Linked DNA regions of Rhinolophus ferrumequinum. The protein of the gene in region 1 interacts with the protein of each later gene in a pairwise test. Links are inferred from orthologs where the notes say so. Each region holds a gene or a part of one and is shown in the gene's direction. Other genes may lie near its edges.

The links.
Region 2: the proteins of TMEM239 (region 1) and CXCL16 interact in a two-hybrid assay, tested with the Homo sapiens proteins (2 studies listed by BioGRID). The two-hybrid records come from large-scale screens. The link is inferred for Rhinolophus ferrumequinum from reciprocal best matches to the Homo sapiens genes TMEM239 and CXCL16.

The regions. Positions count from the first base shown.
Region 1 is NC_046306.1:24,995,108-25,010,134, forward strand, and holds TMEM239 (transmembrane protein 239), read left to right. Parts: upstream 1-8,827; coding exon 8,828-8,864; intron 8,865-9,089; coding exon 9,090-9,158; intron 9,159-9,252; coding exon 9,253-9,773; 3' UTR 9,774-9,895; downstream 9,896-15,027. Other genes in the region: CPXM1 (probable carboxypeptidase X1), read right to left, coding at 94-203, 401-562, 1,757-1,976; C23H20orf141 (uncharacterized protein C20orf141 homolog), read left to right, coding at 7,997-8,262, 8,365-8,539.
Region 2 is NC_046304.1:12,481,211-12,498,089, reverse strand, and holds the start of CXCL16 (C-X-C motif chemokine 16), read left to right. Parts: upstream 1-13,771; 5' UTR 13,772-13,900; exon of another isoform or gene 13,901-14,245; 5' UTR 14,246-14,343; coding exon 14,344-14,413; intron 14,414-14,796; coding exon 14,797-14,935; intron 14,936-15,229; coding exon 15,230-15,312; intron 15,313-16,879. Other genes in the region: ZMYND15 (zinc finger MYND domain-containing protein 15), read right to left, coding at 8,036-8,207, 8,558-8,718, 9,002-9,060, 9,146-9,299, 9,454-9,552, 9,644-9,732, 9,849-9,965, 10,115-10,210 and 5 more. UniProt on the Homo sapiens protein: Acts as a scavenger receptor on macrophages, which specifically binds to OxLDL (oxidized low density lipoprotein), suggesting that it may be involved in pathophysiology such as atherogenesis. Induces a strong chemotactic response. Induces calcium mobilization.

The DNA.
Region 1 (15,027 bases):
ATGGTGATCAGGCCCACGTGGGCAGTATGGGGTGGACCAAGATGGGGGGAAGAAGGTTCCAGGGGTGGCCTTGCTCTGAGCCAGGGTGCTGACCTGGATGTTGAGCCGTCCTCGATGTGGTCCAAGACCATAGGACTGGCTGCTGGATGCCTCAAGCTGGTTATCTGAAACTCGCAGAGACTCCAGGCCCAAAGGTGGACAGCCTGGGGAAGGGACAGAGCCGTGAGACAAGACCAGCGAGAGAGTGGTCAGGGCAGACGGAAAGCAGAGTCTATGCTTGCCCGTGTACGGGGAAGGCTGGGGACGTGCCTGTGCCTGTGCCTATGAGTTCAAGAGTTAGGTTAGTACCTATGTGCCCCAGGGGCTGCAAATTTAGGCAGAGCCCCTAGAAGGGTGGTACCTGGTTCTTGCTCCTTGGGGAGATCAAGGACCCCTGCAGGACTGGTGGTCACCACTGGCCTGGCAGTCGCCAGAGGACTGGGGCGAGTTAGCTTCTTTCGCTTCTTCATAATAACCTTTTTCTTCTTGATGACGCGAATCCGGACGTGCTGTTGTGAGGTCCCTGGGGACCAGGAAGGCACAGCACCAGGGGAGGGAAGGATAGAATTAAAAAGCCAGATGGAGAAGTCTGCCAGCCCAAGAATGCCTGTAAGCCCATAGCAAGCCCCACAAGTATCTAAAGACTTGGGCACGGACTTAACAGCCTGCACAGTCTGACCCAACCTACTTCTCCAGTCATTTCCTTGGGTCCTTCTCCTTCCTGACGTGACCACATGCTCGGCCAGCCTCCTCTGACCCTCTCCAACGCAGAGCTACACCCAGCCACTAGAAACTATTTGATTGCTCCAAAGAGCTGCGTTTGGTTCTTTACCTCCAGGCCTTTGCACTGGCTGTCCCCTCCCCATTATACCACCCACCACCTCTGATTTTATTGCCAAATTCCCATTCTTCATCACATCTCAGATACCCTTCGAGGAGCCCTCCTTAGCTCCAGGCTCAGTTTCCAAAAGTCTCAGTGCCACCTCCATTATTGCGTCTGCCCTCTGGGCTGTGATATCCTGTCCTCAAACCCATGTCTGCCGGGGTGCTCAAGCCTCCCAGGGCTGGGCCTGTGTCCTGCTCACTCTTCAGCACAGGGCCTTGCACAGGGCAGATGCCACAGTTTCCCACCCACCCAATCTCCAAAGGAACCTCCAGAACGTGTCTGGTGCCCCTGTGCCTTTAAACATATGGTTTTCTTCTTGGCTGCCCTCCTCTTCAGCTCTTCTGATTCAGAGATACTCACTCTTTGTGAGCAACAACATTGTTCATTTGCCTCCTCTGAGAAGCCCTCCTTGACTGCCATCCCTCCCTAGACAGTACCCCATTCCTCCAGGCAGCCTCAGTGCTCTCCCTCTCTTTCTCTAGTTCCTTCCTTCTAGCCCCTGCCCTCAAGCTCTCTCCTACACAGTCTTGCTCTGAATCTCTTAGCGTCAATGCCTTTGTCCACACCTCTTTCTCCCCTCCTCCTGGCTCTGGTCTCAGTTTCCTCATCTGTGAAAAGGGAAGGTTTGGGGCTGGAAGAGGCAGCATCTCACTGGCTTCGGGCCCAGGACTGCTGACTTACTTGGTCTGGCCTGGAACTGGGACTGCTGAGTCAGCATCCATTGCACAAGGCGGAAAGAGTGTGTGTGTGTGGTGTGTGTGTGTGTGTGTGTGTGTGTGTGTGTGTTGGGGAAGGGTCGTCACACAGGGGACGGGTGGTGGGGCAACCGACCTGAGGGAGAGGTGGGCCCTAGAGCCGGGAGATCACCGTTATCCTTTCCCGCCGGCGGCTGTGCCGGGCTGCTACGCGGGGCCGGGGCCGGGGCCGGGGTCGAGATCCGGGCCTCGGTGGTCGCAGACGGCGCAAGGCCCAGCAGAGAGCTGCCGGGCGCCCCCAGACCCTGATCGACGGCAGGCGCGAAAGCGGCCAAGGCGAGCAGGAGACCCCACATGGCGAGGTCCACAGGTGGGAATGTGCGGGGCCCCGGCGGTCGGTGGGTTCGTCTCTTCCTGCCGACTGCTCCGGAGCCCCCCGCCCCTTCCTGCCGCAGCCGCACGCCCCCTGAGGCCTCCGGCCCGCCCACAGCCCGCTCGCTGGCCTCGGACCCGGGAGGGGAGGGCGGGGGCGGAGCTAGCCTGGCGGACCCCCGACGGGCTGCCAAAGGTCACCGCACTCACCGTCCATGCCCCTCCCTCTCTGGCCTCCCTCCTGGGCCGCCCTTCACAGTCCGCAAAGCCCATCGGCAGCCTGGATTTCAGTGAGGCGCTTTGACCTGTAGTGGGCACCTACTTTGTGCCATGCACTATTCCAGGCTTTTTACACGTGGCCTCTCAATCCAACCTCATTTTACAAACTGGTAAACTGAGGCTCAGAACGGCTATCGACATGGCCAAGACAGCAAAGCTGGGAACTCTCGGGGAGGAAACCACAACCCAAGAGGGACATCCAACTAGAGCCAGAGGCTATCTACCTAGGCGGGTAGGACAGAAAGAATGCGGGGAAACTGAGGCGGGGGTGGGCTGGGGAATGGGAGGAGGGCTGGCCCTCCAGGAATCTGTCTGACAGACAGCCCAAGGGGCCCAGCCAGAGGCGGCTCGTCCCACCACCACCCCCCCAGCCCCGCCTCCCCTCTCTCTTTTCCCTCCCCTCCCCTCCTCCTTGCTCACCCGGCTGCCACGTTCTGGTGTTACATAATCCAAGAAGAGAAGCCCCAGCCGATACCCAGCGGGCTGGGGCGGGGTGGATGGGCTCAGGCTTGATGGGCGTCCTTCCCTCTACCCTTTCTTACCGCCCCTGCCTCATTCTCCTCCCGGGACCGGCAGCCCTGGGTCTCTGTCCGCGGGACTACACTCATCCCGAGATTCCAGAGCCAGAGCGCAGGACCCTGCCCATCCCCTGGAGACCTCTTTGACTCCCCCATGCTAGGGTCGCCTCCCCAGAAGAAAGGAAATGCATCCAATATGCGCCTCTGGCCAATGCTTGGACCTTGAAAGGAACTCGCAGGGAGATACTGCCATCCCCGTGTGAGAAGCGATGTCCAGAGGTGGCCAGGAATCCTCTGAAGGACGCCGAGCCGTGAGCAAGTATTTTTCCAAGGGCCATTATCTATATAAACAGTTTGAATCACCCAAAGTCAGCGTCTCAGCGCCATTCTGGCAATACCATCTCGCAGGATCTCTGGAAAGAAATACTGCCCCGCGCTCCTGGAACTGAGACCACCACCAACTCGGGCGACTTCATCACCGCGCAGCCTGGAGCTCCTCAGGCATCTGGTCCACCCCACGCGCTCTGAGTAGAGAGCTCCCGATAAGGGAGTAACGGGGACAGGGCCCACGAGGGTCCCTCTTTTGCCTTGGAGCGCCGCTCCTGGACCGTTAGGTCCCAGGTGCCTGAGGGGAACTTAGAAAAACTCAAGGTAGGCGCGCCAAAGCCGAGGCTCCCTAAAGCACAGGACCGAGTCAGGGGCAGAATGAAGAAGGTACCGAAGGGCAAGGCTTTGCAAGGGGAGGGTGGGGGAGGTGGAAGGCCAGGACAGGCTCCTGTGGAGCTAGAAGCTGGTCTGAACAGATCCTGTGGGCTGCCGCCTCCTGCCAAAGCCCAATCTGGCCACTTCCCTGTCTCTGGCCCCCAAGCTCATCCAAGTTTTGCAGAGGGGTATGAAGGGGAGATAGGGGTAGGGGGGTTAAGACATCTCAGCCTCCTGAGACTCCCACCCCCTCCAAGTCGGATCTCACACAGCAGCTAAATCCTGTCAAGTTCCTCCTGGCTTAAAACCCTAGTGGGCTCACTTGCAAGGCCCTTCATGACAAGGTTCTCCACCCACACCCTTCCCACTTCATTTCCCCATGCTCACCTCTAGCTCTTAGCCCTCCAGCCACACAGACATTCTAGCTGTTCCTCCAATGCACCAGCCCCATTCAGCCTCAGGGCCTTTGCACTGGCTCACCAAGTTTGCATCATTATTTAGATTGCCTTTCCATGTCATCTGCTTCCAAGGGCCTTTCCTGACCATTCTGATGGAAGTAAGCTCCATCCTTTCTACACACACTCTATCCTCTCACCCTGTTTTATTGTATTGTCTTCAAGTCAATCAAAACTATCTGAGACTATCTTGTTTTATTTGTTATGTGCTTACTGTGCCCTCCCCCCACACAGCAGGAGGTAAGTAACCCTCCAAAAGAGGCTTTTGCACCCAAACGTTCACAGCTACACTTCAGGGCCTAGAAAAGTGCCTGGTCCCTAGTCAGTGCTCAAAAAGTATGTGTATAATATATTCGAGGTTAGAAGGGACCAAGCAGGGCTGGAGGGAAGTTGAGCCTTCCCAACAGCACCAGGTTTTGCGGGAGAGGAGATGGCAGACCATCAACTGGAAGACTAAAGGGACTGGCAGGGTGGAGCATGTTGGCCACCTTCCACCAATCCCTTCGGGGCTGGGATTGGCAGGACGTTCATACCTTTTGTGTACCCTGTGCCCCCCTCCCTCTTCTCATCTCATCCCTTTGTACCCCTTGCCTCTCTGCCCTATGGCAACCTTTAGGACCTCTTTGCACCCTTCTCAGCCCCCTGAACCTCTCAGCACCTTCTCACATCCCTTTATAACTTCCTCATCCCCTCACACCCCTCTGTGCTCCCAGCCTGGTTATTGCCTTTGGCCCTTACCACTGGGTACCTGGGGCTGCAAAGCCACCAAGCCCAGAAGCAGGTTCTGGAGGTAGCAGCTCCCAGGGTGCAGCAGCAGGTTTGCTCCCGGGTAGGTACTTGCACAGCCAGATCTCTAGCCCCAGGAGCCAGGTGGAGAACCTTTTGTGGCCTCACAAGGGTGAAGATACATTGCAAAGCACCACTGAGTCACTAGGGATGGGCTGGGCCTATCCTGCCGCTCCCCGGTGTGGTCCAGTGGTTGGGGGTGGAGAGGATACATGACTTTGGCGCCACACTGGCTTAATTTCACATCTGCCATCATTTATTTTGTTTGTGTAACCTTTGATAGTAATTTCACCTCTTTGAGCCTCTGTTTCCTTATCTGTAAAATGGGAACGATAGTATCTTCCTCCCAGGATTGCTATGATGATGAAATGAGATAATATGTGGTTCCAAGGGGCCCTGAAATTAATCTGATGAATTAAAGGTGGAGAAAACAGCTTAACACGGTGCACTTGTTCTCACATACATGGATGGAATAAAACAAATCAAGAAAAGAAAGGAGGCTATGTGTCTGGCTTCACAAATAGAGAAGTACTAGTGGAATCCACTACCTGCCTGTGCGTCCTAACCTCCTGTTCCTGGTGCTGAGACAGAACTCACTACCCACTATGTGTTTTCCTTATGATGCAGGTGAGTATTGATGGGGACTCCCGTGGCACCTAGATGCACAGGGAGGTACCTCCCACATGTCCATCCTCCCTTCACCATCATCTTCCCCAGCTGTCTCTCTTTTGTACATCAATGTCTTTTAGAGCTCATTCTCAAAGAGTGGCCAAGGACCAACAGCATCAGCATCCCCTGGGAGCTTGTTAGAAATGCAGAATCCCTGACCAGTTCCATCCCAGGGAAGTCATGTGCACATTGAAGGTTGAGAAGCTCTAGTTGGAGGTTTAAAGCCTCCACTTAAAATGCATAAGATTCACAGCTTTCTGAGTTTGATGGTGTTTGGTGCTGTCACTGGAAATGTTATCTCAAGCCACAAGAGTACATCCACATAACATTAGGAAATTGGCATTTCACTCGTCCTGGGAGGGTATATTCTTGATCTCAACAATATGAACCTACATTGATTTGCTTTTTTATTTTTAACTAAATCATTTTTATCAAAATACTATGGAATATAATTTTAGGGGTAAATTACATTTAGGCTTGTAATAGACTTTTCTATGCTTCTCCATTCCCAAGTCAACCATTTTAAATGCTTTTTGTTATTTTTCCTTGTACTTACTTCTATGCTTCTATTGCTGTTTCTACGCTTCTATTGCTATTTCTTGATGTTTAGACATTATCTGTGGAATTCCTAATGTGGAATTAAGGATTTAGCTTTCTTATCACCCTTCTACCCATACATACCCAAATACACAAACATACACTTCCCCTCCTTCCATTTTCCCAAAAGAGCTAAATCACTGGATTCTATATTCAGTGCTTATATTATGACCATGTAAATATTATTGTTCAACTTTGTGTAATAATTACTTTGTAATTCTTTCTTTGTAAATATTTATTTGTAATAATTACAAAGTAATTACTTTGTTTTATCATTTGCTGGGTCTTAAAGGCACCAATTGCTAATACAATTCTAAGTTTCCAACAGAACTGAACATTTATTTTGAATATGTCTAAAAACAGCAGATAATCATTTTATTTTCTTCTGGAGACATCCCTGCTGGGGATGATGAAGTGATCCAAAAGCATCTATCTTTTGATTCCAGGATGAGTTGCTTGTTTTCCCACCTGGGAGCACAGCTGACATCCCAGGCCCTTCTCATCATACCTCTCCTGTGTTTGGCCTCATTTCTTAAAACCCATATTCTCTTCTTTCTTAATTATTTGTTTTCCTGAAGTACATCCTCCAGTAACTTTCTAAGAAACAGTGCATGCAAGGTCAAAATTTTGAGACCTTGTATGGTTTAGAATGTCTTTATTCTGCCCTCACACTTGGTATGCATTTGGGCATATATACGTTTCTAGGTTGGAAATCATTTTCCCTCAGAATTTTGTGGGCATTTCTTTATTGCTTTGGCAAGAGCCAGAGCAAAGTAATCAAAGAATGGTCCCAAGGGTCAGTGGCATTAGCTTCATGGGCTGTTGAGCCCATCACCACCAAAGATATCAACGTTGCCAAACTTGAGTCTTTGGACAAGGCCCACTGGAGATAGATATGCAGCCTGATTCTCACTCTGTCTCCTCCTCTCCTAGCAGCTGTGTGGCCACTGTCTTCACTACCTGCCCCCATCAGTTTTCCTTCAAAATATGATATGTGGACAAGGATTAAGTTCTCTCATTTATGACCCATTTCCATTCTTGCCTCTCAAGGCACTAAACTAAGATGTGCTGGAACTTCTGGAACCATCACCCAGTTACAGACTATCAGTGGGGGTAGGTTTCTTTCCCAGACGACCAATCCCTTCATTACATGTTCATTTTCCTGAATTTCATTCTCAGAGGGTAACCTTAACCTCCAGTTTGGGGGTTACTATGTAGTAGCCCTCTTACGTTCATATCCTGTATGCCATTTCTGGAATCCCAGTATCTGGAACACCTCCCACAAACCATGGTACTACTTAGAATGCCTAAATAGCCCCGTCTTGCCCCATTCCTATGTAGCAGGTCACATGGGAGCCCAGCCACAGAAAGCCTCAGGTTTGCTTCCTGACAGAGTCTATCTCTGTATCCCAGGACTGTAATACTGAAAAAAATCCCCCACAAGAGCTCACAGGCATCACCCTACTCTCAGGGAAGAGAGCATTAGACAGGAAGATTGAATAACTTGTCCCTGGACACACAGCTCTGGGAACCTGCAGGAAAAAGAAAGCAGCCCTTCCTCCTTTGGTCAGCTGCCCATGTGGTGATGAGGTTAGATGCCTTCTTGGCAACACAGATCCCCAAGGGAGGGCCCTAGGGCAGAGAATTAGCAGAGGCAAGAGATTGAGTCTTGGTTCTCAGAAATCACTGACCTCCTCTGGCTAAGCCCCAGCTGCTTATGAGGCCAGAACCAGCAGCAGCCACTCCCTACCTCAGGGATCCACCTGGCAAGAGGTCACAATGCCCCAGCTGTCAGGCCCAGAATGGCTGACCTAAGTGGGAGGAGGTGAGAAGGGCTGGGTGGGTGAGCGTGTGGGGAGGGGGAGATTCCCCATGAGCCCCATTCCCCACTCCCTGAGCTCACCCTTGAGTGATTTCCACCCCTTCCCACTTTCCCACCCCACCCCCATACTCCCTCCCAGGAAACAAAGCCCCTTCCTGTAACCTCCGCCTCCCTCCATGACCCAGCTCTGCTCACTCAGGCCCAAAGCCCTTGCTTATCCTATCCCTGTCCCTCCCAGGGGCCTGGGTGCTGGAGAGGGATCGGGTCATCCAGTGGGTCCATGTATGTCCTCTTTGGACCCTAGTCCAGCCCAGCTCATGGACAGTGTCCTAGGGCTGGGGGCACTGGGGTTGACAATTTGGGCAGTCTTTTCCTCGGCTGGCCCAGCCTTGCTGCTGCTGCTGCTACTAGTCAGCTTCCTGGCCTTCGACCTACTCCACAGGTAAGTGGGCAGCAGCCTGGCAGATGGGCAGGCATGGGCAGGTGAGGAAGTGGTCAATCTCCCAAAGCCCGGCTGCTGCCCTCTTTCTCCACAGGCCCTCAGATCCACCGGGCCACAGCACACACTTCTCACAGGGGGCCTGAGTCAGGGGGCTGGTGAGGGTCCCAGATGGCAGGAGGCTCTACTCCTGCCGATGGTGGCAGTCACAGGACAACTCTGCCTCCAGGAAGCTCTGCTCCTGCTGCTCCTGGGCCTGGGGCTGTTCCTGGGAGCCTGAGGGGTGCCTTTGGCCCTGCTTGGCCTGGCTTTCTGCCTCCATCCTTGGGCCTGAGTGCCCTCCAGAAATACACTGGCCATAGTGCTGCCTCATTCCTCTTTTTCTCCATCGTGGGCTTGGCAGGGTGGGAGGGTAACCCATTGTCCCCAGGGGACCTCCAGCCCCACAATGTGAAAGCAGCCATAGAAGGTGAGATAAGGCACAGGTTGCCCAGTGCGGGAAGTGATAGCCATCTCAGAACCTGCAGATTGGGGTTGGCCATTCTGGCCTCCTCTGTGGTTCTAAAGAATGAAGGTCCAGAGAGAAAGACTTGCGAGAGAGCAGAGTGTGACTGGCTATCAGCCAGCAGGGAACAGACAGATATCCAAGAGGGCTTCCCACAAGAAAGCATGACAAACTACGTCTGTTGACTCCCCAGGCTCCTCTGCCAGCCTGAAGGGTCCACAGAGAAGGGCTTGCATGAGGCTCGCACCCTGCAATGGCTCCTTTCTTGGCTGGACCCCACCCTAGACCAGGTCACAATGGGCTCCTCTGGGAGGGTGGAGATGAGGGAAAGAGGGGACTCATCTCTGGCTGCCAGGCCGTCCTGGGAGCTACAAGAAGCAACATGACTTAGGTGGCTTTGCCCAGAGGTAAGACCCAGTCCCCAGCTCAAAGCCCCACCCCACCCACACTGGTGCCCACCTGACTCCTGCACCCACACCTGCCCTGAGGTCCCAGACATATCCAAGGCTGCTTCTGCAGCTGGCCTGGCCTCTCCCCAGGTGCACCAGCCATGATGCAGCAGTCGCAAATGGAGACAGATGCCATCGGGGCCGGTGAGGGGCCGCAGCGGGCGGTGCCCTGGTCGGCCTGGGTCTCGCGACAGAGTTGGCTGCGCTGGTGTGCATCCCACGTGCCCCAGAGCTGGACCCACTGGTGGGCCACATCCAGCTGGCGGCAACCACTGCAGCGTGTGCTTTGTGGTCTGGAAGGGATCCTCTACCTGCTGCTGGCACTGATGCTATGTCACGCGCTCTTCACCACGGGTTCCCATCTGCTGAGCTCCCTGTGGCCTGTGGTGGCTGCAGCGTGGCGACATCTGCTGCCCGCCGTCCTGCTGCTGGTGCTCAGTGCCCTCCCGGCCCTGCTCTTCACCGCCTCCTTCCTGCTGCTGTTTTCCACGCTGCTAAGCCTCGTGGGCCTCCTCACCTCCATGTCTCACCTAGGCCACGCTCAGGATTTGGACCAATAGAAGGGCAACCCCATCCCGCTGCTTGTGTCTGTTGAGCCCTGGCCTAGGGCCTGAGGCCCAGGGGAGAGGGAGGGCAGTGGGATCAGGGCCTTCCTGCCTTAGCAGGCTCAGACCCCCGGTCCCTAGCACTGGTTGTGGCATGCGTGCTGTTGCTGGAGCAGGCAGGGTAGACTGGCCTGACCTCTGGGCACCTCCCTCAAGCCCATGCTACAGGTACTGGGTGTGGAGGGCCAGGGGCTTTGAGGAGAGGGGACAGGGAAGAAGGCTTAACTAGGGGCATAGTTAGCCAAGCCACCAACAACTCCCATGTGGGTGTGGTGACACCACTGGGGCCCCCTTAGCAACTAGCGGCATCTTTTTCTTGCAGCTGTCTCAGCTTCAGACTCATTGAGAACTTCTACCTAGGTACTCCTGGACTTGCCATTCCTCCCACCAACCGCCTCTTTCCACTTGCCCAGGCTCTAGAAAGGGCCCACTGACAGAAAGCTAGCTGGCAGAGGACTGACCACAAGCCCCATGAGATCTCAACTAGTTCACCTCCCAGATCTTTCTGCCCAGGCATTTCCCCACTCCCTAGACGTCCTAGCTCCTGCCTTAGTCTACATCCCCAAATCTGGGAAATGGGCCAAACAGTATAATGAGGTTCTCAGAGAGTACCTACTCTTTAAGTTTCGTGAGGTCTGTTCTGGAAAACAAAGAAGTCCCGTTTCACCCACCTACACAATGTGTGGCCTCAGCTAATTAATTCTTTTGAGCCTGTGCTAACCTTGTGGAATTGAGTCAAAGACAATATCTATGTGTGGAATACTTTGTAAAAACCATAGATCTGTAAGATATTGTGCTGAACTCTAAGGACATTCTGTAGACTCAAAGGTCTTTTGACCCCGAAGGCCATAGAGAGATCAAGAAGTTTCTCAAGGCATTCAGAGAAATGCTCCGTCATAGATATAATTACATTGGTAAACAGTGGATGAGTGTGGACAAGATGTAAAAGGTTTTGTATCATGAAATCTCAAAATACGTAGATGTCAGACTCTTCTGATTGTGAAATGCTTGGGACTGGGGCCTGGAGATGCTTGCACAGCTGTGTGAGTGGGAAAAGCATAGTCCATGGTTTCCAAAATGGACCTGGCAAGCTGCTCACAGCACCAGGAGGGTCTTGGAAGGTGGCATCCTCAATGCCCAGGGTACTGGCTGTTTGCACATCTGCTGACCCTCCAAACAAAACAGTGAGTGATCAGCTATTACTAAGTAAGGCACAGGATAGACAGCTTTACTCACAGCTAAGACCTACCCACCTGACCCCTATTGCATTCTGACCCCCACCTAATTCATGACCCTCCCCAACTCCCACCCAGTCCTAACCCCACTGTACATCTAACCTTAAAAACCCTCCTCCTAAATAAAACCTTAGACCCACAGTGCCATCTCCTGCCACTTAAATACTCAAGTCCTAGGGACCAGCCCCTAGAACCCGAGTTTATTTTTGCCAAAACCCATTTGCTGTGGAGTTTCATACCCCTGCATGCTACTGGTTAGATGCCTTTAGCATCAGGGCCTGAAACCCGAAGCACAGTCCTTCCTTCCCATCTCCTTGTGATTATCCCTGAAATATGGCCTGGTAGTGAGGGCAAGGCAGCACATGCTGGTGGTATAGCCTCATAGTTAGCATGGGTTCTGCTGTATTAGCTGAGGCTGGATTTGAATCCCAGCGTTGTGACTTTCTAGCTCCATGGCCTTGGTGGAAATTGCTTAGCCTTCCTGAATTTCATTTTTCTCGTGGGTAAAACACTGGCAAAAACAACCGTCTTAGGGCTCCTGTGGGGCTTCTGGCATGTGGGTGAAGTTCCTGGACTGTCTCCTCACTCCACAAACTGTAGCTGTGCTGTTACTATTCCATTTTAGGGATGAGAAGTCACGTTCAGGCTAGCCACTAGCCACTTGCCAGTGGCAAGGCCAGGTAATTTCAGTCCTAGTCCACCTAACAGGCGACTAAAGGGAAAGCGATGGAGTAAAGATAACTTAACGGAAGACCCATGCTTGTTCTTAAAACTTGTGCCAGACATAAAGCCTGGATGCCCGTCTTGGGTCTATCGTTGACTTAGCTGTGCACTGCTGGCCAGCTACATCACTCCGGAGCCTCGGGGCCATTCCAGTCAAGGGAAAGAGGAGATTTTGGCCCAGACCAGACACAGTGGGGAACAGGATGTGGGCAGGAGAATGCAGAAGGCCTTCTTTCTTTCCCCCCATAAATATACACCTTCCACTCTCCTGCTCTTCTGGTGTGGGGTAAGATAGTGCAGCCAAACTGGAGAGCAGGTGGGCAATACTTATCATATTAAATCCGCCCATACCCTGTGACCCAGCAACTCAAAATGAGTTCTCACAGAGGCTCAGAAAGGGCCTGTGGTCCCAGGACCAGTAGCATAGGCCTCACCTGGGAGCTGGTTAGAAATGCAGAGACTCAAGCCCCACCCCAGGCCTGTAGAATCAGAGTCTGCATTTTAACAAGATCCCAGGTGATAAATGTGCTCACCGTTGGAGAAGTGCTGCATAAGAAGGGACGCATTTGAGAATGATGATTGCACTGTTATTGGTGGTGGCAGGAGATGAGAAAAGTGAAACATGGTGGGTATGCACCGTGGAGAGCAGGCAGCAGTTAGAATGGGCAGGAGCTGTACAGATTGATCTTGAAATCCTAGCGTTGACTGAAAAGAAACTGAATGAGAAATAATACAATTCTTTTAACACAAATTTAAAATGTATGCCATGTCCGCATGTATGCCATGCCTGCAAAACAATACTTTTTTTTTTTTTTTTTTTTTTTTTTTTTTTTTTTTTTTTTTGCCAAGAGCACATAGAAACAAAAGATAAACAGAATGGAATGATGGAATGGCCAACACTAGGGGCAGGCAAATGGGAGTGGAGTATATAGATAAAAGGGAATAAATTGAGGGACCTTGCAGAGACAAAAGAAACATATCGTGAACATTAAGTCCTGGAATTCCTTTAAATGTAGACCAAGTCATCCATTTATAGTTAATACGTTTAAAAATGCAAGCCCGGGGAGAATGAACCTGTTAGAATGTAGGCGTTCTAAGCCTTTGCGGTTTGAGCCAAGAAGGGAGAGCTGTTCCATTGGCCTGAGTGACCTGGGCGCTTGGGTCATGTTTGTCTGTGCTCCTCCCCCCCCCCCCCCCCCGGTCACCGCCTGCCCTGGGGGGGCGGAGGTAGATCCAGTGACCGGTGTGGCCTGGCCAGAAAAATAATCAGATCCGCCGCAAGGGGCCTTGCACGTAAGAAAGCAGAGAAGGGCTCCACAAGGGCATACTCGTATCCTGGGGGCCCGCAGGAGCGGCAGCGTCAGGTAGGACTTTCCTCTGCCCCAAGGAACGTGGAGCAACGAGTAGGAGCGGCCAGAACGCGGGAGGGGCCGAGACGGCGGTGTCAGGGGGCGCGTCAGGAGGGGGCACACTTCAGACACAGTTGTCAGTGGCCAGCCTGTGGGGAGGAGAGGGATCCCTGGAAGGAGGAGCGCTCTCAGAGTCGTGTGTGTAGCGGAACGGGGGTGGCTATGTACCAGCTGGGTGGTGAAGGGAGCGGCTCTCCTCACTCAACAGTCCGTGGCCACACAGGAAAAGGGGGAGACCGGGTCCTGGGGGGAGGAGGAGGCGCCTGCGCTGCGCGGGAAGTCGCCCCAGGAGCAGGTGCAGGTTGCGGGTCATTGCGCAGTCCCCTGGGTTCAGCTGCGCGGAAGAGGGGCCAGGGCGACGGTTAGAGGGCGTCGAGGACCATGGGGGCTGGGAAGGAACTCCGAAGCTTAGCCGGGGATCCGAGGGCTGCGGGCACCCACACAGGCAGCTCGTCCTCCTGGAAAATCAACAGCCCGGGAACCGCAGCTTGCGGACCCTGCGACCAACGGGGCAGGGCGCGCCCCGGGCGGAGATCTCCAGCTCCGGTAACGAAGAGTCCGGCTTGGATCGGGTGTGGGAAGGGAGAGGAGGAGAGAGGTATCCCAAAGCCCGGGACACTGGCACTGAGGGCGAGAGTGGATCCTGGTAGCAGGGAGGGGCATCTCTGGCCCAGTCATTACAGTAGCAGCTTTGTTGACTCCTCGCCCCTTACCCCAAATCTCCAGTCTGGATCCTCCAGCCAGAAACCCAGAGGCATGGAGATCAGAGCTCCTGAGAACCCTGGGGAAGGAAGGCTGGTTGAATTGGGTGGGTAGGCTGAAGTCTGGCCGGCTTCACTGTCTCGGACTCCCAGCCCAGCAGCCCTAGTCTATCACTCCATTCCTCCTGGGGTAGAGAGCTGTCTTTTTGGATACAAACAACTTTGGACAAGATTTTTGTTTTGTTTTTTTCTGTGGAACATCTCCATCTATATTATGCATCTTGCTTCCTTTACACCGCTTGCTTACCTTTCAAATATTTTCCATCTTAAAAATAAAACAATTTGATTTAAGATCTGTTGCCTCTACCATATTTTCTGGCCGTGTCTTCAGATGTCTAACCAAAAAACAATTTTTTAAATTGATATGTGAAACTGCATACTTGTAACATTTGTAACATATATGAAAGTTGTGAAGCCCTCTACACGGAAGGGCACCTCATGGATCTAAAAGCCAGATGTTCTCAGGTTAGGGCCTCCATTCATGTTCCTCTTCTGCCTGTGCAAGATGGGGTTCCCAGACAATGGGATATGGAATTGCTGTTCATAGGCACCTTTAACTTGATCCTGATTTAAAAGGAACTGCTTCTGAGGTTGCACCGTTCAGGAAGCATGTAGATTCCTGTAGGGTTTTGGTAGTTAACCTTTATCCAGTTAAGGAAATTCCTTTCCATTCCTAGTTTGCTAACAGTCTTGATCACAAATGGATGTGGAATGATAAAATTGTTTTTTCTGCATCTACTACGAGGACAATTTGGTTACTCTCCTTCATTCTGTTTATACAGTGAATTACATTTTTAAGTGTCTTTTAACATTAAACCATTCCTGAAAAAAACCCATTCTGGTTCCCTTTTAATTGACATATAATTCCCACATACATTTTACATACTAGTAAAATACACAAATCTTGAGTACAGCTCAATGAATTTTTATGTATGTGTGTGTGTGCATGTAACTACCACCCAGATCAAGATATAGAACTTTTATATCATCCCAAAAAATTCCATTATGCCCTTTTCCAATCAACTACCTCCCAAAAACGTAACCACCATTCTGACTTCTATCACCATAGATTGGCCTATTC
Region 2 (16,879 bases), on another chromosome or scaffold:
CCCTGCTATGGACTGTAAGTAAGCTTCATGGAGGTAGGGACCGTTATCTGAATTAAACATTTTTATTACAAATGTACTATGTGTTCATGGAGGAAAAATGAGCAGTACAGCTAAACAAAATGAATAAACACATTTTTAGTAATCCCACTACTCGGGGAGAATCATATCCTTTCATACTTTTATGCAGTAGATGGCAGGAATTTAGGGAAAGGTTATTTTCTGGCCAAGTGAGTGGTGAAAAGTTTCATTTCCCCTCTGTCCACCAGGGACCTAGACTTCCCTTTTATGGCTGTAGGGAACTTACAAGGCTCCAGGAGGACTTAGCAGGGGCTCTACCCTTATCTTGGGGGTCGAGAAAGTCCTCTCTCTTTAAGGAAGTGACGCGATGCTGAGAAGGAATTAGTTGAGCAAAAGGGGAAGTTCCACAATGAGAGAATGTTGTGTATTCATTTAGTGGCGTCTGGCTGAGCGGGGGCGGGAAGTGACATGAGATCAGCCTGTGGAGGTTGGCAGGGACCACATTAAAAGAGCCTTGTCATCTAGATCTAACTACCAGTTTACAGGAACTAAAGATGATAAATGAACAAATTAAAAAACACTCCGAGGAAGTAATCAGTGTTCCATAATGAGGAACACTCTATAGGACAAACAATTCAGTTTCTTATTGGCATAGAATCAGTGGCAAAGAAAAGAAAAGAAAAGAAAAGAAAAGGAAAGAAAAGAAAAGAAAAGAAAAGGAAAAGAAAAGAAAAGAAAAGAAAAGGGAGGTTGGTTAGGACAGAATGGCAACTTCTAAGCTCCTTACATGTGGAACCATAAACTAATGTCCCCCATTTCAATTTTTAATAAAATTTTGCCACTGAAAAAAGAAAGGAAGGAAGGAAGCAAGGAAGAACGAAAGAAAGAAAGGAATAAAGAAAGGAAGAAATGAAGAAAAGGGAGATTGGTCTGTTATAGAATAAAAGCGACTTAAGAGACAAAACAACCAAAAGTCATATGTGGATCTTATTTATTTGTTGATTGGAACAAACCAGCTGTAAAAGACTTCTTTGCGAAATTAAATAAATTTAAATATGAACTAGGTATTATAAGATATTAAAGAATAATGATTAATTTTACTGGATATGATAATGGCATGGTGGTTCTGAAGCAGGGCCCAGCTGGGCCCCCTGTACTCAGAATACCTCTGGGCTGCCCTGCCCCCACCAGGTAGGCTTCACACCCCTGTAGCTGAGCTCAGAATGCCTCGGGGATGCTCTGTTCCCTCTCCTTATCTTAGAAGATCACCCTTGTAGATGCTTGCTAATTATAAACTCTATTGCTTAACATTTTCCCAGGTTACTCCCCCACTGTTCCCGGACCACTGGTGCCACAAGAGATCCGACGACAGAGGGAGGCATCATGAAAGGAGAACAGACCTGCGGGATGTCATGCAGCCTCTGGGAGAGTGCCTTGATTTTCCCTTAAATACCCCCAGCCGGTCTGAGAATGTAGGACAGTTTTCCTAAGGCGTTAACCCGCTGCCTTCTCGGACCACCAGTGCTCTGATAATAAACGCTTATTCCACGGCCCAACTCCTGTGTCAGTCTATTGGCTGAGCAGTGCAGGCAACACGAGCCCCGGACTTGTTTGGCCTCTGGTTACAGTTATATATTTTTTAAAAGCCCTTATTAGTTATAGATGCACATAAGTGAGAGGGCTGTTGTCTGGGGCGTGCTTTAAAACACTCTGGAAAAAAGCTGGGAGTGTGTGATATTGTCATATAACGATGATACATATTTGGTCTTCGTCCCAGTTTCCTGGCACAAGTGCTTCTAAAACCCTTGGAATATCTTAAGTGATAGGGATGAGAAGAGTATCTTTTGTTATTCATAGTAAGCCCCTTTCAACCCTACCTGCCTTTACGCTAATGAGGTGACTCCTAGTGAGGCCCTCGATAGCTTCAGGAACATGTCTCAGAAATATCCTCCTGTGTGTGTCTGGATTGTTTACAGCCATCTCTGATTATTTAATAGGGATCTGTAGGTCCTGTATTAACCCAAACATGCCCTTCTACCCTGCAGCATTTAACACCAAAGCTATTGCTCCTAAATTAGTCCATTTTAAAATGTAAAGGTTCTTCAGGAAGCTGATGATACAAAATGAAGCAGCTCCTCCACACTATATCCCCTGGTTTCAGTGCTTTCTTTGTTTTGCCCTCCTCCCACGTTGACTACCTCCTTGGTGACCAAAGGCCTTAGAGGTACTTTCTGTTGTCCCGGCATCATTTTTCATTTTGTGGACAGCTTTGAGGCAAGTGGCCAAAGCTTAGACTGATCAAAATCTGAACTTAGTCTAGTATGAAAGTCCAAACCAGAACTATTTTTTAATTGCATTTTAGTTATTACAGATAATAACCAAGGGGTTGTATGTTGCATTTTTTCCTTAGTAGTTTGCATTTCCTTACTAGTGAACCGACTCCTGGGAGTTGGATCCAATTCCAAATTACATTTGTAACTTTTATTTGCAGTAACTGATTGCAGTACCACTGCTGTTCCATACCGTGGTGACCATGTGACCACCCAGGAACCAAAGGTTCCTTATTTCCCACCCTTTCATTCTTTCTCTTCCCAAACCACTTATTTCTGAGCCAGTATCAGTCTAGCAAATCTCACTTCTGACATCAGCTATTAGCCGTTTTTACTACCAGCACGTCTTACACCAAATTTATGGGTTATTTTTTCCCCATAGCAACCAATTCTTCAACTACCCAGACACCACCTGAGTGTCCCACAATTTAATCAATTCTGACAATAAATACACAGAGTGAGTTTAATCCTACAAGACTGCCCCCACTTCAGATGCAATCCTAAATCCTCAACCTCCCGTAATTCTGAACAACCATTCTGAACAACCGACTATAAATTGGGAGTTACAATGACGCCCGCCTCCCTTCAGGTTCGATAATTTATTAAAATAGCTCACAGAACTCAGGAAAATAGTTTACTATTTGGGAACCAATACTGTAGTTAGACTTAGCTAGTTTGCAGTTTAACTCACCACATAGCCTGCTATCTAGCCACCTGTAATTAAACCTAGCCAGTGGGCAGATAGATCCACCCTGATATTCAGCTACTTTCTCTTTGTTTCTCCCCTCACTGATTAATGAAAGAACTCTGGTTTTTCCCCCTTTTCAAGACTGCCTATACTTCATTAATCCAATTAATCAACCGAATCCTAACCTGGAAAGGGCAATTTCTTAATCTTCAGGTGACCATACACCAGAATACACATAAAGCCCTAGGCCGTGGTGGTCCAGTCAAGTCTGGAGTCCAGAGACAACATTATCCTAAAACAGACCAGACCCCAGGAAGGATGTCAGCCCTCTAGACCTGCCTGACTGACTCTCCCTTTCCTTTGTTCTTCTTGTGAATCTATAAAACCTTCTGCCCGGTCTAGGAACGGGGAGGTGGCCTTTGGGCAGGAGTCTGCCATCTTCCCAGATGCCGGAATTCTGAATAAACCTACTTTTCTTTCCACCAAACTTGTCTCTCGATTTTTAACTTTTTCAAGCAGCATGCAGCTGGACCTTAGCACGGTATCACTATTACTGTTTATATATATATATATATATATATATATATATATATATATATATATATATATACACACACATGGGATACAACTCAGAAAGAACCAAATGGAAGAGATGCATAGGGCAAGGTATAGGGAGCAAGGGTGGTGTGGAGCTTCCATGCTCTCTCTAGGTGCATGCACCATTGTAATGACGAGTGGGGAAAAGAAAAGGGAGGAGCACACCAGAGAGGGGCTAATTGATTTATTTAGCAATATCTAATCAATTTATTTAGTAAAAGGCAATAGCAAAAGACAAAGGCAATTAATGGAATGTGCTAATGACAGAAAGTAAAGGTGGTTAAGACTAAACATGACATTGATAACAAAGTCATGTCAAAAGAGTACACATACATACAGGTTTAAGAGATCCCAACATATGTTTACTACTGATCAAAAATCACTTGGCTAAATACACAAATAACATCAATAAGGAGTATCCAAAAGCAGTAAAAAACGCTATAGGATAGCAACTATTAGAGTAGACGCCAAAAGCTCAACAAACCTTAGGAAAAACAACAGTGGAAAGGTCAGGAATCAAAACCTTGACAGGTCTGCAGCTGGGAAAGGTGAGGTGTCTCCCACTGCGGCTTGCTAATTCCCAAGAATGTTGCTGTTGTTGTTGGAAATTAGGGCATTTTCTGATGCTGTGAACTGCATACAAATTTCTAAAATGCTAACAATTTCTCAAGAATGTTGCTGCTGTTGCCATTGCTGTTGTTGGAAGTTAGGGTGTCTCCTGATGCTGTGTCATGCGGGACAGCCTGCGGGGTCTCTGCTCCCGCTCCCCACATAAGAACGCAGGACATGGTGAGGCCAAACAGGAACACCCACGGAGCCATAGGTAGGGGAGTCATACCACTATATTCTCGCTGGTGGCTGGGTTGGAGACACAAGAAGCAGGAGCCACACTGTTCGCAACCCTCACTGCGCCGCTTGCAGGCTCAGCCACCATCTTCTTGCTAGGCCCCATTTTCTGCTAGCAAAGCCATGGCAGTTATATTAGTGGCCCATGGCTCACTGGTTACAGCTGACGGCCAACCAGCCACAGCTGACGGCCGTCTACTACCCGAGCCAGCACCCCTCCACGTGAGGCCGAGAGCCTGGAAACTGCTCTCTGGGGCTCTGTCCCCACATGCTGTAAGCTGCAAGCTGCATACAAATTTCCTAAATGCTAACCAGTTCTCAAGAAGGCTAACTGTGGGAAACAACACTGGAGAGGTCAGGAACCAGCCAGACCTCACAGGTCCGCAGGTGGAAGTCAGGGCATCTCCTCATATTGTAAACTGCATGTTGTATATGAGTTTTCAAAATGTTAGAATGATGAAGATTTACCAATGACAAAATGACGAAATTATACTGCCAACTGAGGTCTCTCTTATGTATTTTTTCAGATGTACCTTAGAGCCAAGCTCCTTGTTCCTGCCTCCCACTCAGGAAATGGCCAGTTCTGGGAGGATCCGGCAGTTACTGTGATAAGAATATTGCTTGTCCAGCTGAATGGTCAGTTCATTCGGACAAACAACACCTACTGTTCTCGCCTGGGACCATCAGCCCAAGGCCTTCCAAAGCCTGGCAATGTGCCTGTCACGTCATTCTGATATAACTTAGTTACTTCTCCACATCATCTGCTGATGTGGGCAAAACAGACAGAAAACAACATCCTCCTATATCTCTCCTGCTGGGAACGAGATGAGGGAGAAATTTTCTTATACCTAAGCTAACCAACACCTCACATGTAGTCTCTCATGTGGGGAAACAAAGGAACAAAAATTAACAGACAAAAACTCACATCAGCTAATGAAGTCAAATTTTCCTCAACATCTTCCCTACAACCATCCTCAGCACTTCAGTGTGTTCACTGAAGTGAAGCTCTCTGAACCCCATTAGGTGGGTAGAGGTTTTTATGGCCGTTCCATTATGGAGGCATGACTGATTAAATCTTGGTTATTAACTCAATCTCCAGCCCTTCACCTCTTGGGGAGAGGGGATTGAGAGGTGGAGCTGAAATTTCCAGCCATCTAATCACATGATTGGTTCCTCTGGCAACAAGCTCCCCCATCCTGAAGTTAAATAAGGGCTTACCTAAGGCACCTCATTAGCATAAACACAGGTACTGTTGAAAGGAGTTTATGAATAACAAAAGACACTCCTATCGCTTAGGAAATTACAAGGGTTTTAGAAGCTCTTGTGCCAGAAACCTGGAAAGACCAAATATATACCCCGATGCCGAAAAAAATGTATGTAAGTGGACACTTTGGTCAGTGTTGCTTGAGCAGAAGTTCGCCATAATCAGAAGTGTCTGGACACTGATGGTAACCACTCTGAGCACCTCTTGTAATTGCAGAAGTCAAACATGACTCGTATTCATCTTTTGTTATTGGTATACATTGAGTATTACAATTGTAATAGTTTTTTTCCTTTCTGAAATGTGTATACATTTTTTGGCACGCTCTGTATTTCTTATTACATCGCAGTATCACTGATAATACTAAAACGGGGAAAATGTTGATAATTGTTGAACTGAGTGATGGGTACATAGGACTCATTATACGAAGTTTCTGGGCTTTTGTGAATATTTTGAAACTTAGATAATAAGAGAAAGGCAGAAAGAGAAAGAGGCACCTTATAAGCCATACTAAGGCGTCTGAACATGATTTTTAACTTTCTATTTTGAAATTATTTTAGATTTATAGATGAATTGCAAAGATATTAGAGCATTCCCATATATCCTTCACCCATCTTTCTTTAATGTTACATCTTATAGAATCATGGCATATTTATCAAAACTAAGAAATTAACATTGATAAATACCATTAGCTAAACTGCAGACTTTATTGAGATTTGTCCTGTTTTTCCACTAATGTCCTTTTTCTGTTCCAGGCTCCAATCCAGGAAACTGCATTGTATTTAGTCATGTCTCCTTAGTCTCTTTCAATCTGTCAGTTTGTTGGTCTTTCCTTGCCTCTCATGACTTTTGAGGTGTCTCCCACTGCTGCTTGCTAGTTGCCAAGAATGTGGCTGCTGTTGTCGTTGCTGTTGCTGTTGTTGTTGGAAATTAGGGCTTCTGAAGAATAGTGGTTAGATATTTAGTAGACTGTCCCACAATTTGGATTTCTCTGATGTTTTCTCATGATTATGTAACAGGTAAAACACTTCTTTCCCTGACTCCACCTTAATTCCAGCTTGAATCTCTAGATACTCTATTTAACTGGAGGAGTTCTGCCATAGGATTGAGTAACTTCTGGTCAGACTGTCTGGGAACAAAGAGATTTGGAGATTTCCCCCACCCCCTCCTTGGATTGCACGTCTTGCACTGTGTGTTCTCCCTTCCCTTGACATAAGAGAAGCCTGAATTCTGGGCTTTCTTAAAATGAATTTGAGAAAACCAGAAATCTCCTTATCACCATTTCCATAATAAACAAAACCTTTCTTTATTCCAAACTCTCATCTATTGAATATTAATTATTTGATGTGCCAAGCACACAGACCTTGTGACTGCAACAATTAGACTGAGATAATGGATTTTTAAGAAGACTACTACAGAGGGGATGTGGCCTTCTCATTGCATCATGTCAGGGAGCACATTATATTAACATGACTTATTATTTATTTAACCTTAATCACTTGGTTTAGGTCAGGTTTCTCCACCATTTTTCCTTTTCTATACTTAGTGAGAGTCACTAACTCCAGCCCACACTCAAGGGGTCTTTAAAAGCAGAGTAAAGTCACTGAAGGGGTTTGAGGAGGGGGTGTAATGTGTTCAAACGTCTGTTTTAGATGCAATATGCTGGCTGAAATGTGGAGATGAGTTTGTGGTGGAGTTTGCAGTGGGATTGGACATAAACTGGTGGACTGAGTGACTCTAGCAGTCTGACTCAGCAGGAGTGGGTTCTTCACTGAATATGAGTAATGAGAGAAGGTGGAGTGAGGGATGGCCTCCAGGTTTCTAATTTGGACAGTTGGGTGGCTGGGGCCTTTCACTTAATCTAAACCTAGGGGTCTGTGTGCCCCTAGGAGGTTCCATGCTTCCCTTGACCCTCAGTGAGAAGCTACTTTCTGCTTTTTGTTTTGCCTTAGGGCAGGTCCCTGAGGGTTACTAAAGTCTGAAAATGACTTATTCACATATCCACTAGAAATAGCTTGGGAATACCAAGGAGGGTCAGAGTCCCAAGTAAAAGGGGACAGCCACTGAGGGACTGAAAGAAGCTGGAGGAAAATAAGTCATCTCTAAATCCTTTTCTCCCCTCCCAGATTAGTGACCCAATTATAAGCGTTAGACTCAGTGGTTTCAAACAAGCAATTTTATTTATCTTTTCTGTGTTCTGCCAACCCGCATCACCCTCGGCCTTGGGTGTTTTGAGTCTCTTTCGGAGTGCTGGAGCAGGGTGCTGGAGCAGGGTGGACTGCTATCTCTCAGCCCTCACCTCCGCCGGCGGGGCCCCCGCCCAGGTTTCTTTTCTCCTCGGCGCCTTCGGGCTGGGGCGGGAGGAGCGGCAGGAGTTGGGACTGGAAGCCCGGGCCCGGGTGCTGGGCGAGCCCCACTCCCTTGCGGAGGTTTGTAGACCAGGTGGAAGACAAAGGCATTGCAGTACCTGAGGGGGGCGTGGCACGGTCAACTGCGGGTTTTGTGCTCCCCAAGTTCCGAGGCGTGGGGCTAGACTTAGGGCTCAGCCAGCCAGAGGATAGGAGTCTTTTGGGGATGGGCGAGGAGATGGAGAGATTTTGTGAGCTGGACCTAACTAGAGAGGCGTGTGTTAGGGTTGTCGAGACCCACCAGGGGGGTGGTGAGTAGTGGGGACAAAGAAAGTGGGTGGTAGGGCTGGGGCAAGGAGGGTCCCAGGAGATCAGAGGTGAGGGTTGGGGTGGGCCATTTAGTATGCACAGCCAGAGAGTTAGAAGTTAAGGGTCAGGGAAGAAAATAGGGAGGGTGGCGGGCCCTTACCAGGGCATGCAATTGTCGGCCGCTCTGAGGCGAAAAGGGGAGCGGAAGGGGTTGGGCTGTGGAGGGCTGGTGCCCCCTCCTGTGGCCACTGCCATGGTCTGCTCATCCATTACACAGCCATACTCGCTACTCTCGGTGAAGAAGGCTGGCACTCGGAGGGACTGGGGGGGGGGGACAAGGGGGCGGCCTCAGACACTCTCGTAGAGGCTCCTTTCCCCAGGGACATCCCGAGCAGGAAGGGTCGTAGACTGGGTTGAAAACTGAGGACCTAGATTGACCAGAATGGGGGAGAGGCAGGAGGCAGACACGGAGAGGGCCAGAGAACCTGTGGGCCACCCCAGATCTGTGGAACAGATAATGGGAAGCAGAGTCTTTCAAGAAAAGAGGAGGGACTGGACAGGGAGGGGAAGGGGGGGAGAAGTTCCCTTTTGCCTCATTACCCACCTGTAACCTGGGCAGTGAGCTCAGCCAAGTGTCCTTGAGACCAAAGCCAGAGTTAAATCCTGTGGATAGAGGGGGAGCAGGGAGAAGCGGGCTCCCATGGTTTTCTTCTCCCACCTTCGCCACACTCCTACCCCAGGCTCTTACCGATAACCAAGTCAGGCTTGGGCCCCTGGAGCAGGTGGTAGGGCCTTGCAGACACTTTGATCTGCAGATCCCTGCGGCCTCCCTTCTCCTTAGTCCCAGAGCTGAGCCGTGCTGATACCCCAGAACCAGGACGGACAGATACTTCGGGGCCATCCTGGGGAGCCACAAATGGGGAGGAGAAACCACTGGAAATTAGGGTACCGGAGGAGGCAAGACAGGGGAAAGAGGAGGAGGGAGCAGAAGGGCAGGTCCCAATCGGGACAGGAAGAGGATCAGGGCTGAAAAGCGGGACCCCCCTCAGTCCTTACCCTCTGCAGGGTAAAGTGCTGCTGGTCACTCTCAGGAGGCAGACCATCACCCACAAACTGCAGCTCTAGGGCCATGTGGGGGAGCAAAACCAAGAGCTCCTAAAGGATAGAGAGGACAGATTTGGGTCCTCCCCACCCCCAATCCACCTTCACACCCGTATGCCCAACCTTCAGGTCTAGAGAGGCTTACCCAAAACACCATAACAAGGTCAAATTCCTTCCCGGCCTCCACCACATGGATTTTCAGCGACTGTTTGTTCTGGATGTTGAGCTCAGGGACTGGATGAGAAGCTAGCTGTTTAAGGATATGGTTTCCCCCCTCTTCCCTCCTGTCCCCTACCAGCTTCCTGTCCCCCTGCTTCAGGCACCCCTCCCGCTGCCTCCGCTCTCCTTACAGGACTGCGGTACCAGGTGGGTGATGACGTAGTACACAGTCAGTGGGTAGGTGAGAAGCACAGCCATGGGGGAGTCCAAGCTGAGGCCCCGCCATGTGTAGTAATCCTGCCATGAGCCTGGGGAGAATAGGTTAGTGGGGGACCTGGCCCCAGGCCTGGACCCCAACCCCTTTAGTCTGACAGCCCTCTTTATCTCAGCCGCCCAGACTGCTGGCTCTTCAGTCCAGGTCCCTACCGCCAGTTCCTTCAGGGACCCTCCAGCTCACCAAAGAGGCCCCTGGGTGGATCTGGGGGCACAGGGGGCATCAAGGCAGGCCCGTCCTCCTGGTAGGGATCTCCTGAGAGAAGCTGGTAGGGATCTCCTGAGAGGAGGAAAGGAAGAGGAGCCTGGCATCAGGGAGACCCACACCTGGCCCATCCCTTCTCCCTTCCAAAGTTGCTGTTTTCCCTGAGAGAGAACCTGGAACTGCAGCAAGAGGAATGGGGCAGTTCTTAGGGATGGAGTTTCTGGATGGGGTGACTTCTTAGAGGGTTGGGGAAGGGACGGAAATGTCCCTGGTGGTGGTAGTGGGTTTTAGTGTGTGTGTATGGAGGGGTTATCTGGGACCCGGACAACTTTTTTCTCTCCCATCCTTTCCTCTAGTCTGAGAGGCCCATGCCTGAAGAGAGGCCCCACACACCATTGAGAAGAAGGCTGAGGGATGGTGTGCTACCACGGGGGTGCCTGGGGGTGCCAGGGCCTGGAATCAGCATGCTGATCTGGGTCCAGTAGCCACGAGTGAGGCCCCGCGCAGCCAGGAAGGCCTCCTTGTTGAAGGTTTCACTGGTCACCTCTAGAGGAGGAGAGTGGTTGAGGGCCTAGTAACTTTAGCTCTCCTCAGCCTCTCCCAAGGACCCTGGGTCTGAGTCTACTCAGGGAGAGAGCTAACGTTTCTGAATGTCTGTAGTATAGTAGGCATCCAGCCTATAGAATTCTTATAACAGTTCCCTGGGGACATTTTGTTGGTATCCCTATTTTACAGACGAAGAAAGGAAGGTGTTAAGAAATAAAGCGATAGGTTTATGGTCACCGGTTAGTGGTAGATCTGGGAAGAAAGTGTATAAATCCCTACTCCCAAATCCCCCAAGCTCTCCCAGGGACCTGGATGCTCAGTTCTCAGCTCCGGAGACCCTGTCTCTAGGGGTTTGTCCTCAAACCAAATACCCAGTACCCGGCCCTTCTTCCAGGGATGCAGACTCCAGCTCCAGTACTTAACCTTCAACCCCAGGACCCTGTTTCCAGACACCCAGGCCCCAGATGCAAAGACCTGGTCCCAGCTTCCCCTCCCCATCCTGACCTCCTTGTGGTACCTGCAGTGTAGGTAAAAGGCAGAGTTGCCAGTTCTCCTGCCCGCTCCATGAAGGCTGCAAGCCTTGAGCACCAAAATCGGTGGCTCACATCATCTGGGCATCGCCGCCAGTCGGCCCGGAGACAGGCCTCTCCACAGTACAAGACAGCACTACATTGGGGGCTAGGGTCACAGGGGGCGGTAGGCACTCAGTGTTAATCTGTGTTAAGTCCTGTCCGCTGTCCATCTGCCCTGCAGCTGCCCAGATGTCACTTGGTCTTTTTGTCTGTATTCTCTCTGCCTGTAACAGCTTGTTGTTTTCTTTGTCTTATTTCCCTCCTCTGTCTATATGCAGGGTACCCCACCGACCTGCTTTCTCTCTATTTGCCTGACTGTTGGGGTCTTCCTCCCTTTCACTCCATCTTTGCAGGCTGCTTACCAAGGTGTCAGCTTCACTTCAAAGCTGTGCCGGTGACAAACATGGCAGGTTCGAGCTCGAAGAGAGGCAAAGGTGAAGTCTGGCTGGGGACCCCATGTCCGCATTGGGGTCTTGGCTAACTTCACACCCAGCCTTGGGATCAGACTCTCCAGCTCTCTGAATGGGGGTAGAGAGGGCATCAGGCTAAGGGACTCAGAAGTCCAGGCCCCCCAGGCCTCCCCACCCTCAGATACTACATTTCTGTACCGATGTAGCTGGGCGTCTCCCACAGTAAGCTGTCGGGGCCTTCGAGGGTCTCCAGAGCCCATGGGGCAGGCCATGCTGTGGCAGAGGAGAGCATAGGCCCGAGGAGCCAGATTCTCTGTCCCTGAGCCTCTGCTTGCACTCCCCTGGGCTCCATCAATTAGCAGGTCAATGCCCAAGAGGGTGCCATGTTCATCTGTCACCAGTAAGAGGCAGGAAAGGTGCAGGGGGACAGCTTCTGTGAAGAAGGGAAAAGTCAGGGGTGGGGGTGGGAAAGATGATCAAGGTCAGGGGTACCAAACTCAAATGCCTTCAGGGGCTAGGCAAGTAAACTAAGTGAGTAAAGGTAAAGAAGGTACGCCTCACATGAAGGGGACAGGTACTGCATAGTACCAGCATTTGCTGCCCCGAAGAAATGTGGGTCTGCTGTCAGAACTTTAGATTTTTCTTGAGAAGGTATAACTCCAGACTTCAGGAGTTTTTTTCTTTCAATGTTTAAATATTGGCTCAAATTGAAAAAAAAAAATTGTGGGTCAATGAAAACAACTTTTCCGGCCAGATTGGCCTGAAGCCACACGTTTGTTTGTGACTCCTAGCTGGGTTCTGAGTGGCAGAGCAGGGCTTCAGAGGGGGAGCATGCCTGAGCAGGGGACAGGACAGGGCCAGCCCTGGGTTCTTACCACTGCTTTGTCCCTTCCTCCTCTCAGGCCTTGTTTCGTCTTCTGCCCTGTCCTCTCGGCAGCCATCCACGCCACCTCCTGCCTCCTGCTCAGCCTCCTCTGGCTCCCCTGGAGGATTTGATTCCTGGGGGGACTCCCTGCTGTTATGGGCTGGCTCCCCATCCTCTTCAGGTTCTACCTTCTCCGTACCTGCACCCTCCTCCTCTCCATTCTCTTCCTCTTCCTCCTCCTCCCCTTCCTCCAGGCTGACAAAGCTGACATAGGGACTTAGGTCTCGCAGGTGGAGTAGAGGTTCGTCTCCCAGGAGCCTGGCAGCCCCCAGGCCTGGTCCAGGGCCTGGCTCTGTCCCATGCCCCAGGCTGATGCCCACACTACGGTTGGGCAGGACATGGAGCACCCAAAGGGCAGGGTCCTGGGGCAGCCTTCTGATCTGGGCCTCCAGCTGTCGCCAGCGGCCCTCAACACTGGCGCCCACAGCCCCTCGCTCGGCCACGAACTTGTGGAACCAGCCAAAGAGGAGGGCAGCGAAATCAAGGAACTCATCCCGGTATCCAGACACAAACTCCATGTCTTCAGGGGCACGGGGCCTGGGCCCAGACTAAGCAGAGAAAGGGATATATGGTCAGGGAGAGAGGGTGGTGGTGAAAACTGGGGCTGGGTCACAAAATAGGGGCGGGTGAGTTTGAGGGTCACCTAGAGTGGGATCTATGGATGAGCTGAGAAAAGGGTTTTCAGGCCTGAGGATGGGAGTACAGGGATGAGAATGGGGGTTAGACTTGAAAGTGAGCTATTAGGGTTAAAGATGTACTCAGGAGTGAGATGGTATTTGAGGCTCAAAATTTGAGGCTCAGACTTTCAAAAGCAGGGTTTGAATTGGGATAGAGGTGAGGGAGGGCTAATCCTATCGGGAAGGATTTGGCAAGGAGCGAAGAATTTTGGATCCATCTGTGGGGTGTGGGAGGAGGGACTAGGAACCAGAGCATCCCTTCTTCTTGGATCGGTGAGCCCCAGTAGACCTAGCCCCTCCGGGCCTCTCCACTACACTACTCCGGTACCTGCAGCCGCCACCACTTTTCGAAGGTAAATACCTGGGGGAGGGGGCGGTCGTGACGTCAGGACTGCCGAGCCCACCGCCAGCCCCTCGGGTGGCCACGTCCCCGCGAGTCGGCAGCGTGTGCCCAGGTGGCCCTGGCCAGCGTCCGTGCGTCTGGGCGCGCGGACTCTCCTGAGGGCATCACCCTGGCCATGTGACTGAACCCAGCTGAGCCAGGACACCGGCTGGGAAAGTGAAAGCATCTTGGAGGAGGAAGCGGCGGTAGCTGCTCACCCATGTCACCGGTCCCGAGGACCGACCTGGGATGGGTGAGATGGTGGGTGGGCATGGCTGGCATCCCTGAACCGCACCGAATCGGTCGGTCGGGTAGCTGCCCTCTTGCCTCGCCTCGCCACCCGAGTTTTCTTTCGCTTTCTTCAAACATTTCTGGCTAACTCCTCGACGAAGGCACCGGGCCCATCCCGGGAGAGCGGGCGAAAGAGCTCCGCCTCTGGGGGTTTCCTAGTCGCCTGAGGCTGGCGGCCGCGCGGGGTGGACCGTACTGATCACGCTGTCAGTTCGACACGCTGCGAGCGCGGGTAGGGAGGGAGGGCGCTGTCACCTCGCGCCTCCTTCTCGGGGGGATTGGACTCCCACGGCCGCTGTCTCCCCAGGAATCTCAGGTGGAGCCGGGGAAAGAAGCCTTAGATAAACCAGGCGGACGTCACCCTCCGGAGCCTGTCCAGGAGTCTGACGGGCCAGGCGGCCCGAGATGAGGCGGGGTTGGGGACCCCAGTCTCTCGCGCTCCTGCTTCTTCTGCTTGCGTATCTGGCTCGGCAAGGTTCGTCAGGGGTTGGGCCGGGACCCAGATATTCCAATCTGGGAAAGAGATTGTGTGTATGCAGAGCCGTTAGGGCTGCGGGATTGAGTTGAGTAACTGTGGACCAGCCGTCCCAGCGTCCCCAAGGCAGCCGGGGCAGGGGGAGGGTTAGCTGCCTGGAGCTGGGATCAGGCTGGGGGAACATCTGGGCCAGGTACGACTATGAACGTCTTTGGGTGTGTGTGTGATGTACGCGTTGAGACTGGGGGTCAGACCACCGGGTCTCGGGGTCTCGAGGAGAGGCTGTATGTAATAGGGCAGTGGGTTGAAGGCTAAATAATAGCTAGGGGAGCCCCTTGGCCTGGGAACCTGTGCTGACTGCTGACCGCCTCTGTTCCACTCAGGGGATGGCAACGAGGGCAGCAGCGCGGGAAGTTGTTCCTGTAGTACAACATATTCTTCCGGATCCCCTCCAAGGGCCCATATTATGGAACATCTACAAAAACAACTGAAAAGTTATGAGCGCTGTCCTTTCTTCATCAGGTAATCTCACCCACCCTGGAGGGCAGTGCCTGAGCACTCTCTCCCTGCCAGGTGACTCCAGGACCCCCTCTGATCAAATCTTAACTCCCTCTGGGAGGACCTACCCCTTCTATAGGTGATCTTGCCTCAGTTCCCCACGCCATTTCCCTTTTCCATCTACCTTGGAATTCCCCGGGGCCCTTCTGATATGGATCACTCTGGGTGGTGACCTCAGGTCTTTGGAATGAGGAAAGAGCTGGGGAAGATGTGGGTGCAGGGTGAAAGAGAAGCTGAGACCAGGTCCTTCCTCCACAGGTTCCACCTACCTCAGCGGACTGTATGTGGGGGCAGCAAAGACGAATGGGTGATTAAATTGGTGAGCTGCTTTGATCACAAAGGTGAGAGCTTTGCCCCTTCTCCCCAGCTGTCTCCAGGGCTCAGAGGCCCCCACCTTTCAATTTTCTTTGCCTCATCCATTTCCCTTGTGACAGTTCACATTCCTATTCTGAGTCTGGCCAAAGTACTTTCACTTAAGTCCCTGTTTACCAAACATCATTCACCACTACTTTCATGATTTTTGCCAATTCATCCTATCCCCTGTGCTATTATTTGCTGTCTCGTCCAGCGCAACACGGGCAGTGATGGAATGAGAAGGGGCGGCATTAAGTTAAGTTTTAAGAAAGAAAAAAACAGAGACTTAATGCAGTTAAATCACAGAGGCCAAGGATCTCGCAGTCCTGAAAGACTGGAGCGCAGAATCGGGCCGACTGGTGGCTTTTATTGATTATGCAAGGAAATAAAAATTATTTTATCCACGGTCTGTGAAACTCATACATCATGTCACAAAGGTGACTCAAACCAATTATCCCAGCAGGCAAGCAGCTGATGTAGAAAGTCCCATGATGGCTTAATTAAGGTATGTACCCTCCTGGGGACAAGTCTCTCATGATAAAACTTTGTTGCTGAGCTAAACAGGGAGAGCTGACATTATCGCCCTCCTAACTTCTCTCACAATCAGGTGAGAGGGAAAGCCAGTGTCGGCAGTGGCTCTCTTTGAACAGGGGAAAGAGACAATGCCCGTCTCCACATTTTTCATGGTAGCTCATGGGGGTCCCCACATGGTTCCACCTGTCTTAGATTGTCTCTCCCGTGAGAAATCTTACGTGTCTTTGGCTGACAAACCATCTTTTGGGGGCCAAGCAGAGAGACCTGAGGTGCAAGCACAAGGATGAAACAAAGTCTCAGAAAGGCACAGTCTCACAGACTTCTTTCTTTAGGGAAAGGCACGAGGGGACAGTTGGCTAGGCTGCTGCGTGACAACAATTTGCTTAATATTTTTTTTGAAATCAAGGCACTATGTTTATTTTCCAATATTTTATTATGGAAATTTAAAGACATATAGTATACAAAAGTGGAAAGAATTGTAGTGAACATGTATATACCCACCACCTAGATTCTACAATATTTGATTTTTATGTTTATATCTTACATATTTTGTATATGTACATAAAGCAAATATATTTTATATTTTACATTGTCGAGTTTATGGCATTTTAACTATATTTGCTTTATTGCACATCCATCTGACTATCCATCCCTCTATCCATCATCAATCCACCTTATTTTTTGATGCATTTCCAAGTTCAGGCATGACTATACTTCATCCGCATACATTTCAACAAGCATATTATTAAGTAGAGCTCAATATTTTATTGTTACTTTTTTCTTTTGAGGTAAAATTTACACACAATAAAATGAATAAATCTTACATATACATAAGCCATTTTGGGAAAACTCAAATAGCACTGATTCTAAGCAATAATACCTGTGAAGTCACAAATTTGATGCACTGGTTGTATTTTTCTCCTAAAATAAATATACAACCCTTAAAATACAAAATGTTTTCCATGTTCCACCTCAAGTTGTCTGGTGTAGCATTAGTGGTATGTTTACTGCTCTTTGGGC